Linked DNA regions of Lonchura striata. The protein of the gene in region 1 interacts with the protein of each later gene in a pairwise test. Links are inferred from orthologs where the notes say so. Each region holds a gene or a part of one and is shown on either strand. Other genes may lie near its edges.

Evidence for each region. The genes of interacting proteins can lie anywhere in the genome.
Region 2: the proteins of AMOT (region 1) and PTPA interact in binary tests that used the Homo sapiens proteins (3 or more experiments, as listed by UniProt). The two-hybrid records come from large-scale screens. The link is inferred for Lonchura striata from reciprocal best matches to the Homo sapiens genes AMOT and PTPA.

The regions. Positions count from the first base shown.
Region 1 is NC_134616.1:17,376,546-17,383,836, reverse strand, and holds the start of AMOT (angiomotin), read right to left. Parts: upstream 3,011-7,291; 5' UTR 2,895-3,010; intron 2,725-2,894; exon of another isoform or gene 2,613-2,724; intron 1-2,612. Other genes in the region: PGK1 (phosphoglycerate kinase 1), read right to left, coding at 5,998-6,038.
Region 2 is NC_134624.1:148,570-156,214, forward strand, and holds the start of PTPA (serine/threonine-protein phosphatase 2A activator), read right to left. Parts: upstream 3,014-7,645; 5' UTR 2,914-3,013; coding exon 2,889-2,913; intron 868-2,888; coding exon 767-867; intron 1-766. Other genes in the region: CRAT (carnitine O-acetyltransferase), read left to right, coding at 5,592-5,621, 6,733-6,996, 7,464-7,582. UniProt on the Homo sapiens protein: PPIases accelerate the folding of proteins. It catalyzes the cis-trans isomerization of proline imidic peptide bonds in oligopeptides. Acts as a regulatory subunit for serine/threonine-protein phosphatase 2A (PP2A).

The sequences.
Region 1 (7,291 bases):
TACAACCCTGGTGATGGTTTAGTTTTTATTACTGACTTCTCTATTTCTCCCCCTCACCCTCCCTCAAAATTCTGCTGCTCAAAATGTCTGCACTCACAGCTTCCTCATTTCTGCAGGTCCTCCCCTGCCATGTGCAGCACATCCCAGTACCACCAGCATTACTGGGAGCTCCAGCCATGCCTCACTACTCCGAGCTTCCAGCAATGAGACTGACCTACAGTCAACATGATACAAATGAAGGTATTACAGCACATATATATCAATATATAGGTCTGTCCAAGACCCTAAGGAACTTTGGGACTCATTTCAATCAGCATGCCTTTGAGTTACATTTGAAAATTACACCAACATTGCCAAGATTAAGTCTTAGAGAAAAAGGCAGTCTGGGCTTTTTCAGCTTTATTTGTAATTGCTCTTACATTACCAACTTACCAGGAAATTGCACAACACCACACCAACACAGGTGCAAGTCCTTTAGTGGTAAGAAAGCTGCTGGAGATCACCAGACTCAGGAATTTTCATTGACTACGTGGTGTACACCTGCTCTGAGTTAGACATTGCAATGCTACAGTGGCAGAAGCTGTTGCAGAGACACACACTGCCCTCATCAGCCTCATGATCCCTCATGAACGCTGGGCTCAAGTGCTGGCAGATGGTGTTACAGAACAGAGATTTTACTTGCTTGAGAAGGTGAACTGCAAAGCCAAACTCAGAAATTTCTCTGCCTAACGAGGAGGTTGCAATTAGGTCATTGCTGAGCGCTGGGTAACCACAGATCAGAACAAAAACATTCCCACAGAATAACTCAGATGTGACAGCAGGTACTTGGAATGAGAACAAGGACTTCATCCACGTAGTCCTGCTGCTGAATTATGTGGATAAACAGTGATCCTGATGTAGCCAGCCCTCAGCAGCACACGCAGGTGTCGGGACACACAGACCCAGCTTAGCACAAGCAAACAAAATTCCCAAACAGGAAAGCCCATGTCCAACTTTGATGAAACTTGACAAAGAGCTCAGAGCAAGTTTCAGGTCAGAATTCTATTTAGGATGTAGATAAACTGGATCCAGGCCATAACCTTTTTCTATATCTTCTAGACTCCAGTTTGAGCAATGCTCTTATTTCTGAACCCTATTTCTACTAAAATACTCCATCAGTTCTATGCCCAACCCTGCTCAGCTCAGGCTGGATATTTTGGTGAACACAAGACCTTTGCTTGAACACCAGGGAGCTTCAATAGAACACTCTCCAGGCTGCTTTTGGTCACTGAGACTCCCTCCCTTGGATCCTGCACATGGAATTACCTGTCCTTGGGGCAGACAGGTCAGGAGAGGGGAGATTTGTGGGTTAATGGGATACTGTTCTGATCAGGGAGATTAGGTTACAAGGCCATGCCTTGTAACACACTGCCTTCTTCAGTGTGGCACTTCAGTTTACAACTGGGGATTTCTCCTTTCTTAGACTGAACTTTTAATTATTTATGGGCCTATATTATATGCAGAAGCTGCCCAAAACCTAAGCCTTAATAAGGATAATCAGAATAATCATATTTTTCCCTCTTTTGTAAAGCACCTTGAGCCTTGCTGATGAGAAATGCTAGGATGTGATTAGATGCTTAATGAAAAATTATCATTAGAAAGTGGAATAAAACCGAAAAATTAACTAAAATGGAATTTTCTATTTTATACTGCATTGGGGCTGAGAAAATCATTTATCAGAGGCAATGCTGAAAATTTTAACTTGAAAACTGAGTGGAGATCTTCTTTATGCATGCTATGATGGGAGAGGGCAGGTGAGGATGCCAGAGTCGGGGCCTGGGTGTTGTGAGAAGTCTGAACAGTCCCCAGGAGCCTGAAATTTGGGAGTGCTGGGCTGTGCCACCATGTGCAGCCAGCCCTTGGCTGGTGCCAGCACCGAGACCAGCAGCTGGTGTTCAGCATCACCCCAACTCCTGTGTCCACCACAGCTCCTCCACAGTGACCATTTGGCTTCCCAGCCCTCACCCTGCCCAAAAAGTATCCGGGAACGGAGACGATGGGGTTTGAGCTGCTCAGACCATGCGGTGGAAGTCACGGTGAATATTTATGGCCCTGCCTCACTCTGTGAATGAAATGCACAATAACCGCAGCAGCGGAACGGCCGAACCAAGGCACGCATGCAAGCTTTTAACCCTTTGGGGATTATCACCCTCCAAATTCTCTCTCTCGAAGATCAAAGCGGGAGGATTTGGAGACGCTTCTGTTAAATTCGGAGCCGGGGCAGGTGCGGGCGAGCTCCTGCAGGTGGCTGGGGCCGGCGGGAGGAGAAGGCAGAGCAGGGACCATCCCTGGCGGCTGGGGCAGAGCCTGCGGCCAAAGAACACCCCGGCAGCACCTGGAGCTGACAAAGGAGCCGGGCAGGGGAGCAGGGCCGGCTCCCACCCACACAGCCCCGGCAGCCCCCGAGCCGCCCCACGCCCAGCCCTCCCCGCAGCCACCAACAGCGCCGGGGAAGGAGGAGATGCCCGTGAGGGAACACCCGGCAGCCCTGCCCCGCCTCGGGGGCCCGTTCGGGCGGTGCCCGAGGGGACAGCGCCGGCCTTTCCCGCGCCCTCACCGCGCCTCGCCCTTACCCCGCGGGCGCCGGGCCCCGCGGCCGCCCGCACATCCATGGCGGCCGCGCCACGCCGGGCAGCTCCGGCCAGGGCCCCGCCGGTGCCGCGGGCAACTTTCAGCAGGCGGCTGCAACTACGGCGCCCGGCATCCCCCGGCGGGCCGGCGAGCGGTGCCGGCCGGGAGCTGTAGTTCCGCACGGGCGGGGGAGCCGGGCAGCCGCCTCGGCCCGGGGGAATCGCGGCTCCAGCGGGGCTGGGAAAGACCCTGAGAGCAGCGAGCCCAGCCTGTGAGAGCCCCACCTGGTCAGAGCGCTGGGTGCCACGTCCGGCCGTCCCCTGGAGAGCGCCAGGGATGGGGAGCTCGCCTCCCTGAGCAGCGCTTTCCAATGTTTAACGACCTTTTCCGTGACGAAATTCTTCCCGATATCCAACCTGAACCTCCCATGCTCTATCACTGCTTGCTTGGGAGCAGAGGACGACACACACCCTCCTGTCAGGAGCTGTTCAGAGCCACAAGGTCCCCCCTGAGCCTCCTTTTCTCCAGGCTGAGCCCCTTCCCAGCTCCCTCAGCCTCTGCTGGTGCTCCAGCCCCTTCCCAGCTCCATTCCCTTCCCTGGACATGCTCCAGCCCCTCCAGGTCCTTTCTTAAGTGAAAGGCCCAGACTGCCCCCAGCACTGGAGTGGCCTCACCAGTGCCCAGCCAGGGGACAGTCACTGTCCTGGTCCTGCTGGCCACACCATGGCTGGGACGGGCCAGGTGCCATTGACCTCTTGCCCACCTGGCACGCCTGGCTCCTGTTGAGCTGATGATGGCCAGCACCCCCAGGGCCTTTCCCACCAGGCAATTTCCACTTCCCAGTCTGCAGTGTTCCATGGGGTTGGTGTGTCCAAAGGATTTAAGTTCTTTACTTTTAATTTCACCTGGCTCTTAGTATCAGCCCCTTAAACCTGCTGTATGTATTAACTTCATTACATCATGGGCTTTCTGCAACAGCTTTGCTTCTAATCTTTCTTCCACAATGTTTCCGACAGGGATGATTTCTTGCCCCAGAAACTCTCAATAAAAGCAAGAAAAATGTAAAAGCTGACCTATCAAAGAAGTATTAGCAGGCAAAACTTAAAAGAAAGGCCCTGGAAAATCTGTCACTGAAATACTCAGCTGCTGGCCATCAAGTGTTCAGCTCATATGGTCTCATGTTTATGTGTTTCATCCATTTTTATTTACAATTTATTTTTATTTAAAGCTGAGTATCTCTCTGGCCCTACCGTGCCATGGTTCCTGTGTTGAACACAACAGTGCACAGAACAAGCCGTGTGGAAACAAAAGGATATTTTAGAGATGTAAGCAGGGAACATCCAAAGTCAGGTGGAAAAATGGTTTTAAGCAGAGACATCTGTGTGTACAGAGCATCATTACTGCTTGCTGTATTTAACTACAGATAGCTTTGTTTTGTTGCTTTTGATGGAGAGAGAAAAAAGCCAGCAGAAGTAGTGGCCACACACCAATCTTCCACAGTAAACACCCAGAAAGGAGGGCTGGGGGGAAAGTCTGTTATTGCTCCATGGGAGTCTAGCAGCACAGGGGCACAAGAGTGACACAAAAATGGGCTGTGCTGTCACGAGGTCTTGTTTTCCAGAGCCAGACAACGAGGATCTGTTACAAGACATGGTGGAATGTTTGTTTTTGTAGTACTGGATTTCCAAAATCCATGGTCTTTTTGTGGCTGACAAGCCCCCTCCTTTCTTTGCCACGTTCCTGCAGCTGTCGGAGGTCTGCACCCCTGCCTGGAAAACATGAGCACAGCACAGCAAAAATGTGCATCATTCATGTGCCATCAGACAATGCTTGGGAGAGTTACAAAGGAGGGGAGGAAGAGGAGAAGGAGACCACAGTGCTGCAGTAATTTGCATTGTTTCTACTTTGTTTGCAACAGTCACTTTTAGCTTTAAACTCTAATAGCTATAGATTTCATAGCAGCTTTACCACACTTCAGCATTATTGGATTTTAATTCACACCCCCCACCATGACCAGGTAAAATTTGGCAGCATATCTGGTCTAACACATACATGTTTGGGTAATATTTCATATATAGAAATTAACTGAAAAGTAGAATCTGTGTTGTGACCTGCTGCGTACCTCATGGACTCCCTCTGTGGTTCATCCTTAATACTTTGTGCTGTGCAGAACCTCCTGGGAGCACCACTGCTGGGATTTCACTGGGAATCAGACCAGGCCATGGCTGCCCCACACCACTCACTTTTCCTGGACCCACCAGCAGTTCAGCTGGAGCAGTGCCTCTCCTCAGAGCAGAGCTGTGACTGCTGCCATAAGCCAAAGCCAAGGCCAGGCTGAGGCTGGAGAAGTCCCAGGTTTGGTTCTGTGCTCACATTTGGGCCCTGCAGCCAGCACAGGGCAGCCTACAGCTCCAGGCACTGGAACAACCTTGCTGGGCCTTCACTGACAGCATCTGCAATTCTGCCACGTGCTGAAGGCACACACAAACCTCAAGTGTTTGTGCAGATTTACCATTCTACTTTCAGTGCTTTTAGGACCACAAACTGGAACAAAGGCACAATGCAATTGTCAGGGACTTCATTTTTACCTGTCTCAGTCTTCAAAATTCCCCCTGTATTGACATGAAATATAGTAGTTGCCCACTATGAAGCAAGTTCTCCAGATGATAAGCAGTTCAACTTGCATTTTTGTTACTTTACTTGCACATTCAAAATTTCATCTTACTTTATTATGAGGGGCATTGAAGTTTTAACACCCAGCACATCTGTGGCAATTTACTTCCTTACCAATGAAGTTCACTTTGATGATGACTTGGTGCTTATAATGACCACTGGACAACCACAAAATGAGATTTAGAAATACTATAATTAGAGCAAATAGGAAAAATAGCTCAGATTCCAGATGCTAGAAGATATTTTAATGAAGTCCATTCTAAAAATCTGAAATAAGGACAACATACAAACTGGGAGCACTTGAAATATGTTTATTCAGCAGCTATTACAACCAACCTCCAAAAAACTGGAGTCCCCTCTGGTTTTTGAACCGTGTCAAGTGATGAAAATGCCTCTAGGATGGAAGCTGGACAGTGCACTCCTTTCTGAGATATACATCTAACAGGGATTAAACTCTTTGAAAAGGCAAAATATAAATATATACACTCTAAATTCACAACAACAGCTTGAACTCACTACGTTAATTCAAGTGGGGTAACAGTGGACAAACCCACATCATGTAAACTGCAGTCAGGAAAATCTCTGCTCTCTCTGCTCCAAGGTCCCGTTCCGGTTTACATTCTGGGATCTGCCTCTGGCAGAGCTGGAATACGGAAGCGCTGAAGTGCTGGATCTCAGGGGCTGTGCACGGGACCGGGCGTGGGGCTCTGCTCTCTACACATTGCTCAAGGCATCCACACCAGGGAGAACCTTACCTGGGGGCAGATAAAACACAGCAGCAGGGTTAAGGATCTCTGCTCAAACAACTTTACATTTAAAGAGATATAATTTTAAAAAGTGAATCAGGAATTACAGGTTGAAAATGGAAGAGTTTGGCTTCACATTGACCATGGAGGTTCCATGGACCAGCTCCACACAATAAATCCATCTGGAGCACAGCTGCACTCAGATGTCAGCAGAGAGATTCCTAACACAGCCCAGCCATCAACTTCATTTAACAATAATGGCACATTTCTGTGCAAGTCTCTGCTAGGGCCAGATCCAAACACCAAACATTCTTTTCCATTAAGTTTGATGGCAAACAGATTTTTGATTTGATTTAGCCAGTTGCTGCATACTTTCTTAAGTCCCTAGTGGCATGTAAATAGAATTCTAGGGAGTGTGGTAGAAATTTTAAGAATTAATTAAGAGAAAAAGTCTCCTAAGAGTCCCAGGTCTTTAAACAACTAAAACACTCAGGTTGAGACATTTACATGTCTCTTTCCAACTGATGGAATCAAAGAATAGTCTCATCTTTGAGTACAAGAGCCTAGATTAATACAGTGCAACATTTTCTAAAGCATTTTCAGTGTTTTGTCCTACTTTAATAATGAACAGACACCACTCTGGTTTTGCCTTTCCTCAGAAAAACAACCTTCTAATGCTCAAGCTGTGCAGCAGGACTGAATTTTAACACTGTTCACAACTCACTAGTTTGCTGAGTTTTCAGGGATTTTCCCCCCTTTCTTCATCTTCAGAAGCTTTTCTAATTAGCCAGACTTCCGCTACATTTAAAAGATCACACACACAAACCCATATTTTGGGCCAAAACTTAGACAAGTTTGTGCTTTTGAATACACAGCGTTTCCTTCGAGCCATCTGCATTCTTTCCCTTCCCCATCACTCCCTAGGCAACAGAAACAAAAGCTCTGTCTCCCATCTTACTCCTGCAAACAGCAGCTGCAAGGCAGTTTATTGAAGTTCCTCCTCTCCAGAGGAGTTGACAGCGTTGGATAATTTACACACACTGGGAAACGGCAAATTACCAGAGGAAATGAAAAGTCGTTTAGAGAACAATGGAACTCGTTACAAGAATCCCTTCAATCCTCACCATTTTGAATTCCAAGTACCCTCGTGCAGGCTTGTCGGTGAGCACTAGAGGGCTCCCCAAAACCAAGGGAATTGCAAACGGGAAGAAGAGACTTCTGGCAAGAATTCCAGACTGTTCTGATGAGGCTTCCCCAACAGG
Region 2 (7,645 bases), on another chromosome or scaffold:
TATCCCCCCCATGCTCATGCAAGGGAAGAGGGAGACAGCCCAAGCTCCTCACTCCTCCTCTCTTTAGATTTGCTGCTTTGGAAGCATCATCTCCAGTGCAGCTCCACAGCAGCACACTGCCACTTCTCCCTCTCTGCCTCAAAATCAAGTCCCTAAACCCAGGAGACTTAAATTGGAAGCTGCACCCAGAGGTTTGCTTGACACCTGGCTATAACCTCAGTTTCTCTCAAGACAGATCACATCAGTCATCAAGCAAGAATTTGCTCCTAAGAGGAGGGACAAGTCTGGGCCAACACCCCAATCCCTCAAAGGCAGAGAGGGGAGAACCTGCTTGTTCCACCAGCTCCACACAGGCTGTAAACAAAAATTATCCAGGAAATTGAAGGGCTCAGCTCTAGAGTCCTTTCCAGAACAGCACAGTGGGAAGGAACCAACCCAGGCTGGTGCTACCAGGGCCAGGCAGCAGAACCATGTTTAAGGTGAGCTCAGACAGGCCTGGGTAAATCCAGTTTGGTTATAAAGTACAGGCCAGGCAGGATGAAACAGTCACCAGCTTCTCATCCAGCTCGTTGGGAGGGAGCAGTAATCATTACTGCCAAGTAATTTTCCTGCAAACCAGCACCAACTCTTCTTGAAAACACAAATTTCAATTATTTCCCATTCTCTGCCCAAGCCTCCTTTACTCCCTGGCTGTTCCCAGACCAGACCTGGCTGCCACCAAAAGATCAGCAGCATTTCCCAGCATTTCCTGTCCCCAGAGTCTTACCTGAGATCGCTTCCACTTGGCCATGTCAGAAACCACATTTATCTCCTTCTTGGGGACCATGAAGCATTGCTGGACAGGAGGAGGCACCTCCTCAGAGGCGCCTGGGAGATGCAAAAAAAGAGGTAAAACAGCAGCACTGGGGAAGGAGAAGTCCTCTATTTTTCTTTCTTAGTAATGAGCTTTATTTCACAGGAGATACAAAGCACACAAATCCATCCCAGCTGGGCTGTAATCTCACCAAGTCCTCCTCACCAATATCCTCCTAAGGACTCTGCAAGCCTTCAGACAGAAGCATTATGTCTGTTTTTATTGTTAAAGATGCATTTTCTATTCAGACAGAGAATAGTGCAGGAGATAACAAAAGCAACATCTAGCCAGTTTAATTATTTCTGTCTAGTGCAAGCCTCAGGTCACGCCGAAACACTGAACTCTCCTTCAAACTAACCCTGCCTTGTTTTTAAGTGTTAAGCCTGACCTTCATTCCTCTAGAAAGGATAATTCCTGCATGGACAAGCTGGAGCAGTGCAATAAATGCAGCCCAGAACCACAGCTCTGGTCCATGTAGCACCTGGACTTGGGGGATGGTGGGACACAGCCTCTTCCAGGTGAAAGCTGTGAAGATCATTTAATTTCAAAGCCCTTTCAGAGCCTAAGATGCAATATTTAATGTAAATGTGAGTTGCTAATGAATTAGAGGGGCTCTTTTCTGCAGCATCCAAACCCAGGGCCCAACCTGCAGAACCAGAAAAGTTCCAGGAGATTTAAAGTAATTTGTATTATGCTCCTGAAAGTGCAACTTTTAATAGGAAGAGGAAATGCAGAGGGCACTGTCAAGGAACCTGGGCACTAATGTCAATTTATTAATTCTGTCAGAGTCACTCAGTTCACCTTTTTCAACTCAGAAAATCTGGAGACACTTATGCAGCACCAGCTGCCCTGAAACACTCCAGCAACTGCTGTCCACAGCCCAGCCAGTACAGGCACTGTCTCCCTAACAAACACCACCAAACACCAACTCCTTAAAATATCATCAGCTGCATTTACATAGAAAACACCACCCAGAAGCAGTGGCAGCCTTTTCCACAATGCTCTCTAGCAGGCAGATCAGATTAAAAGGAAACCAAAGTCCCAGGAACAACACAGAGTCCGCTGTAGATTTGTCATACAACCTTTGACAGTCATTTGACTCTGCCTTTCACATTCCCCATGCCATGAACAAATTCAGCCTCATCTCCTGCCCTGAATATTGCAATGCTCAGTTCATTGCTGCAGAACTTACAGCAAAACTTCCAGGTAGGAGGATGAGAGGAACAACGTGTGATGAATTTAAATTAAAGACGTGTGTATCTCTTCTTTTCAGCACACAACTCACAGCAACTGGCACCACACCAATGGAGCTCTGCTCTTAAGAGTTTATAACATGAAAACAATGAAAACCTCCCAAGCAATGAAGTGAAAAGGCAAACCCCTGATGTGTTCATCAGTACAGGTGACACATAAATCCCAGGGCAGTGTCCTGATGTGGGTGTTTGCCATTAACAGAACTGCTTTCCTCTCTTTGTTTCTCAGCCATCACTGCTTCTGACCCAAACTTTGTGCAATTCCTCTTGGTGAGGAGACCAGGAATACTCCGGGAAGGAAACAGTGAGGGCTGCAGGGGTTACAGCATTCTGGGATGAATACACAGAGTCCAAGCCTGTTAGTGTGATGGAGACGGGAGCCTGGCGGGTCAGCTTTACGACAAGAAGCACTTTGGACTGAGGGGGCACTATCAGGCTCGTGTCACGGTGTGAGGAGGGGGAGTCAAAGGCTTTGCACGAGAACCAGTCACAAAACCGGGCTGGGGGCACAGGGATCCCCGATCCAGAGGCTCAGCCCCGACCACCAACCTCGCCCCGGGGTGGTGCCAAGACTCGGAGGCCGCAGGTCCTTCACACCCTCAGCAAATCCCCCTCCCTCCCCTCCCTGGGCCGGGCGCTGCTGCCACCGCCCCCCGCAACGCGGGCCCGGCGCCCTCGGCCCAGCACCCCCGGAGCGTGGGGCCCTGTACCGCGCTCCCCGGCCCCGAGCACGCCCCTGAGAGGCCCTGAGGGTTCCCAGAGCCCCCCTGGCCGCCCCTCACCTGTCCGCCGCTCGCTCTCTGCCATCTTCCCGCAGCCCGGCCCGGCCGCCCCTCACCTCCCACCTCCGCGCACGCCGAAGCCGCCGGCGGCCATCTTTGAGCAGGGCACGCCGCCCGGCCCTGTCGTTCCTGGGGCCGTCTCACGGCTGAGCGGCCCCTGCCGGCCACCGTCGTGCTCACGCCGCCATGTTTGTGTAGGGCGCGTCCCTCCCTGCCCACACCGGAGAGGGACCGGTGTGCGCGGAGGGCAGCGGAGGGGAGAGAGACAGGACCGCCCTCACCATCTCTGGGAGAAGGCAGCGGAGAAAGGGGGCGCGGCACGGCTCCGCCGCCGGCCGCGGCGCTCCTTCCGCTCAAAGCATCACTCTGCCTTTCCCAAAGATGGCCACGCGGGATTCGCCCCACTCCAAGATGGCGGCGGGGCGGCCCCGCCCCGGAGCGGCGGCGGCGGCGGCCGGGCTGTCCTTGCGGTGGGCCCGGGGAGCGCGGCCATGCTCGCCTTGGTGGCCAGGGCTGCGGTAAGAGCGACACCGGGAGGGGCGGCTCCGCCAGCACCGGCCGGAGACGGGGAGCGAGGTGGCGGTCGAGGGTCGCTACATCGGGCAGGGTCGAGAGCGGGCGGGCGGCGAGCCCGGCTCCGCGCGGGGCCTTTAGCGGGGCAGCGCTGGCGGTCTCGGCGGTGCCGCTGCCCGGTCCGGCCCCAGCCCGGAGCACAGGCCCGGGTCCCGGCCAGGGCCGTGCGGGGAGCGGGCAGGGACCTGCCGAAGTCAGTCCCCAGGCCCGCTGGGTTCCGCCCGTGCCTGGCGGCAGCGTGCGCGGTGGAGCTGTCCGGGACGGAGATGACAGCCCCAGAACTGTCAGGGTTCTCTGGACATTGCCCTGTCCCATTACCCTGTCCAGCGCCCCTGCCAACGCAGGGTCACCTGGGGCAGATGACCCAGGAACGTGTCCAGGTGGGTTTGGAATGCCTCCAGAGAGAGACGTTCCAAACGAGACAAACTCCACACCATCGCTGGGCACGGTGCTCTGCCATCCTCAGTGTAAAAAACTTACTCCTCATGTTGAGGGCAGACTTCTTGTGTTTTAGTTTATACTTCCCCTCCTGTCACTGCACACCACTGAAGAGAGTCTGGCACCACCCTCTTGACGCCCACCTCGATGATATTTATATGGATTGTTCAGATTCCCTGTCAGCCTCCTCTTCATCAGATTAAACAGGATGAACTCACAGTCTCTCACTCGCCTCACATAAGAGATACTCAAGTCCCTTAATTATCTTTATGTCCTCCTCTGGACCCTCTCCACAGTGCCTTGTCTTGTACTGAGCTGTCCAGTTGGGGCTGGACAGCAGGAAGGTGGCTGCTGGACATGGAGGGGCCAGGGAAGCCCAGGCAGATGGCATCGGTGGTTCCCACCGTACCCATCCTGCTGCACACACAGCAGAGCTGTCAGACCCCTGCCAGGCTTGGGAGCTGCTCTTTGCAGTCTCTTCTGGGTCCTGAGAGGAGGAGACAGAGCAGCAGAACAGCAGCTACAGTGTGGATCCACTCACAGTTACTGAGGGACTGGGCAAGACCAGTTGTCTCTGGGCTTAAGGGGCACTCCAGATTGTAATTTAAAAATAAAAGACAAACCTCTGACATCCTGCTACTCAATTCTGTGGCTGTGCTAAGAATCAGCTAGGAAATTCCTTCTGCCCCCCAGCAGGTGGATTTCCTTTCCCACCAGCTTTGCAGGCTCTGGAAAAGGTTCTTTGCTGTGTTGGAACATGGCTCAGCAGTGATGCCAGCCCAGAGGCTGGCCCTGTCTGCACACTCTGCTCCACTGGTGTTCGTTTTCCTGCTGCTTGTGGGGAGTGTTGGGCTGTTCCCTCTGTTTGCTGCCAGCTGCCCCCTCAGCTCTGATCACTGTTCCTTCTCCCACCAAATCTTTGAATTTAACCCCAAACCAAACAAACAGGGGACAGAAAAGAGGGAAGATAACAAATGCATTCCACATTTTAACATACAGTGGCTTCCATGAGTTTGTTTTGGGATTTTCATTGTTACCCCATGGAAAATCAGCTGTTTGTTTGGGATCATCATACTCTATCCAAGCTATGCAAGCCGTGCTTGTCTGCCCCTCAATTCATTAGACAGACACGAAGGAGGTGTTGATATTCCTTGTGACTGCATGGCATTCTCATTGCCCTGCTGTAGAGATATTTTTTGGGGCTTTTTTGAGTTGACAACTCAGAACTCCCCGAAGTCTCAGCTTGCAATAATGACCACATATCATGGGCAGTGAGGGCAGTTGGGGTACTGCCCATGGTGCCACCTCCAGGACATAAACTGAGGTCTCTCCTGCATTATGTCCAGGTATCTCTCCCAACAGCCACAGTAGTTTCGGGGTCCAGACAAAGGGTGAAGGAACAGCATCCCAACTTCTGCCCTAGCTGGAGCCCAGAGCTTGGTCAGAGAGGGGCTCTAGCCAGGTATTGATCAGCTGCCCAGAGGAGCACCTTCAGGGCAGTTGTCGAAATCCAGTGATCTGATAATTCCTGTCCCCTGCGGCTGTGCCAGCCCTTGAGCCCTCTGATCAGAGCAGTCATGTGGTAGTTGGCTAATGAGGTGACGCCCTGCATGGGCAGCACATTGTCAGGTGGAAGAGGAGACCCAAGAGAGGCCGAGGGAGAGCTTTACGGCCTTTTCTGTCCTACCAGCCATGGATAGGAAGCAGAAGCAAGCAGAGAAGGTACAGTATGCCCAAGCTGCTGTGATCAACACCTTTCTTTTCCTCGCAGTCCCATTCTTCTTTTATGCTTCAGTAATTCCTCCCCCTGCTGTTTTTTTCCAAACCTCAGTCTCACAGCTCTTCTCAGGTCCCACAAAGACCCAGCTGCTCAAAAACAGGGCAGTTTCTGGCGGGCCTTTGTCATCTTGTAGATTGAGCTGTTTCTTCTCAGTCCTTAACTGCTGGGAGGAGGTGTGGGGACAGCTATTTTCTCACCGCTTTGGAAGGCAAAGGGAATGTTCTCAGTGGCTTTGCATTCTCAGTGCACTGACAATGCAAAGTCCAGAGTCCTGCAGGAGTGTCTGATTCAGTAGATCCACGGGAGAGGGAGGTGCAGAGGGAACTGGAAACCTTGAGTACTACTGAAACATCTTCAAGCTGAAGAATGTCCAACCCCGTTCATCCAAAAGGATGTTGTTATTCTTTTTGGGGAAAACTGGTGAGTTAATTTCCTGGTGAGCACTTGGGTTTGCTCGGTTATATTTCTCCAGCCAGGGAAGTGGTTTGTGCTTCTGCTCCCACATGACCCAGTTGGATCACAGGAGCCTTTTGGCATCACCCACAGTTTCCTGAATCAACAGAGAAAAGGCATTTTAATCCTACCCTAAACTTAGCTAAATTCTGCCTCCTCAAAGCCAGAAGGGTAGTTTGGTTTGGCACAAGGGTTTTGCTTTTTAGCCTTATGATTTTGTAAGAAATAATGAAAGTTTCTGATAGTACATAAGATGGTTTTTTTTTTCACAACTTTCTTCCCATTTACCATGGGATGGAAGGGTTTGACTTTGTCTATCGTATGGAAACTCTCAGCTGAAAGGTGTTCACAGAGTGGGGAGATGTGTCATTATCCCAGCAGCATTTTCTCTGAGAAGCTAAGAATAGGTATCTTGGAGATGGAGTTTCTCTTTCACAGCTTTCCTGGATGTCCTGCACCCTTCTTCAGCGCACAGCCGTGCTCTGCTCCCAGGCTGGGACACCCATGTGCCCACAGAAAGGCTGGGATGGCAACTCCTAGATCCAGGTTCTTTGCTACTTGGGGGATGTTTTGTCTCGACATTTGCTCTGTGCTTTGCAGGCCAGGCCCTGTGGCCTGCTGAAGCAGACACCTCTGAACAAGGTTGTGGGCAGATTCCAGCTCCACCAGGAAGCGCTGCCCCCCCTGCCCGTGCCTCCACTGCAGCAGACACTGGATCGGTACCTGCTGGCCCTGCAGCCCATCATCAGCCCCGAGGAGCTGAGCCACACGCGGGAGCTGGTGGCCGAGTTCCGCAAGCCGGGGGGCGTCGGGGAGAGGCTGCAGAAAGGCCTGGAGAGAAGAGCCAGGAAAACAGAGAACTGGGTAGGTCAGGGCTCTGGCCCCAGCTCAGGTTAGGGAGAGTGGAGGGCTGATATGCATCTCTTCCCTGTCCTGGCTGCATCCACTGGAATCTGTGTTTTAATGACAACACCTTCCTGACCAGTTCGCCACTGATCTCCCCAAGCTGTGCAAAGGCCTCAGCAGGACTTGGGTGAGCAGAGAGATTATGGCAGAACAGGGAGTCACTGAAGGCTTGAACCTGTCATCATCCTACAACTGCCCCAAGAAGCTGAGCAGAGGGTTGAAGGAGACCCTCTGCTCAAGCCCTGTACCAAAAGCCACCCATGCCTTGCTTAAATCCTCCTTTCCCCTTCTACCTGCATAGTAGAAACCCCAGACACTTTGTTTGAAAAGTGTGGGACAGAACTGGGGGCAGGATGCTGAGACCCATCCACCAGAATTGGGTTGGACAGCAGCAACAGCTCTCTGTTTTCTTTTTTCCATCCCAGCTCTCAGACTGGTGGCTGAAGACAGCTTATCTGGAATATCGCTTGCCAGTTGTGGTCCACTCCAGCCCAGGTGTGGTTTTACCTAAGCAGGATTTTCTGGATCGACAAGGTCAGCTCAGGTAAAATCCTTTTCTACCTTCCCTCCTTCCCTTAGATTATAGGTGGGATGAGTTTTCTGTGTT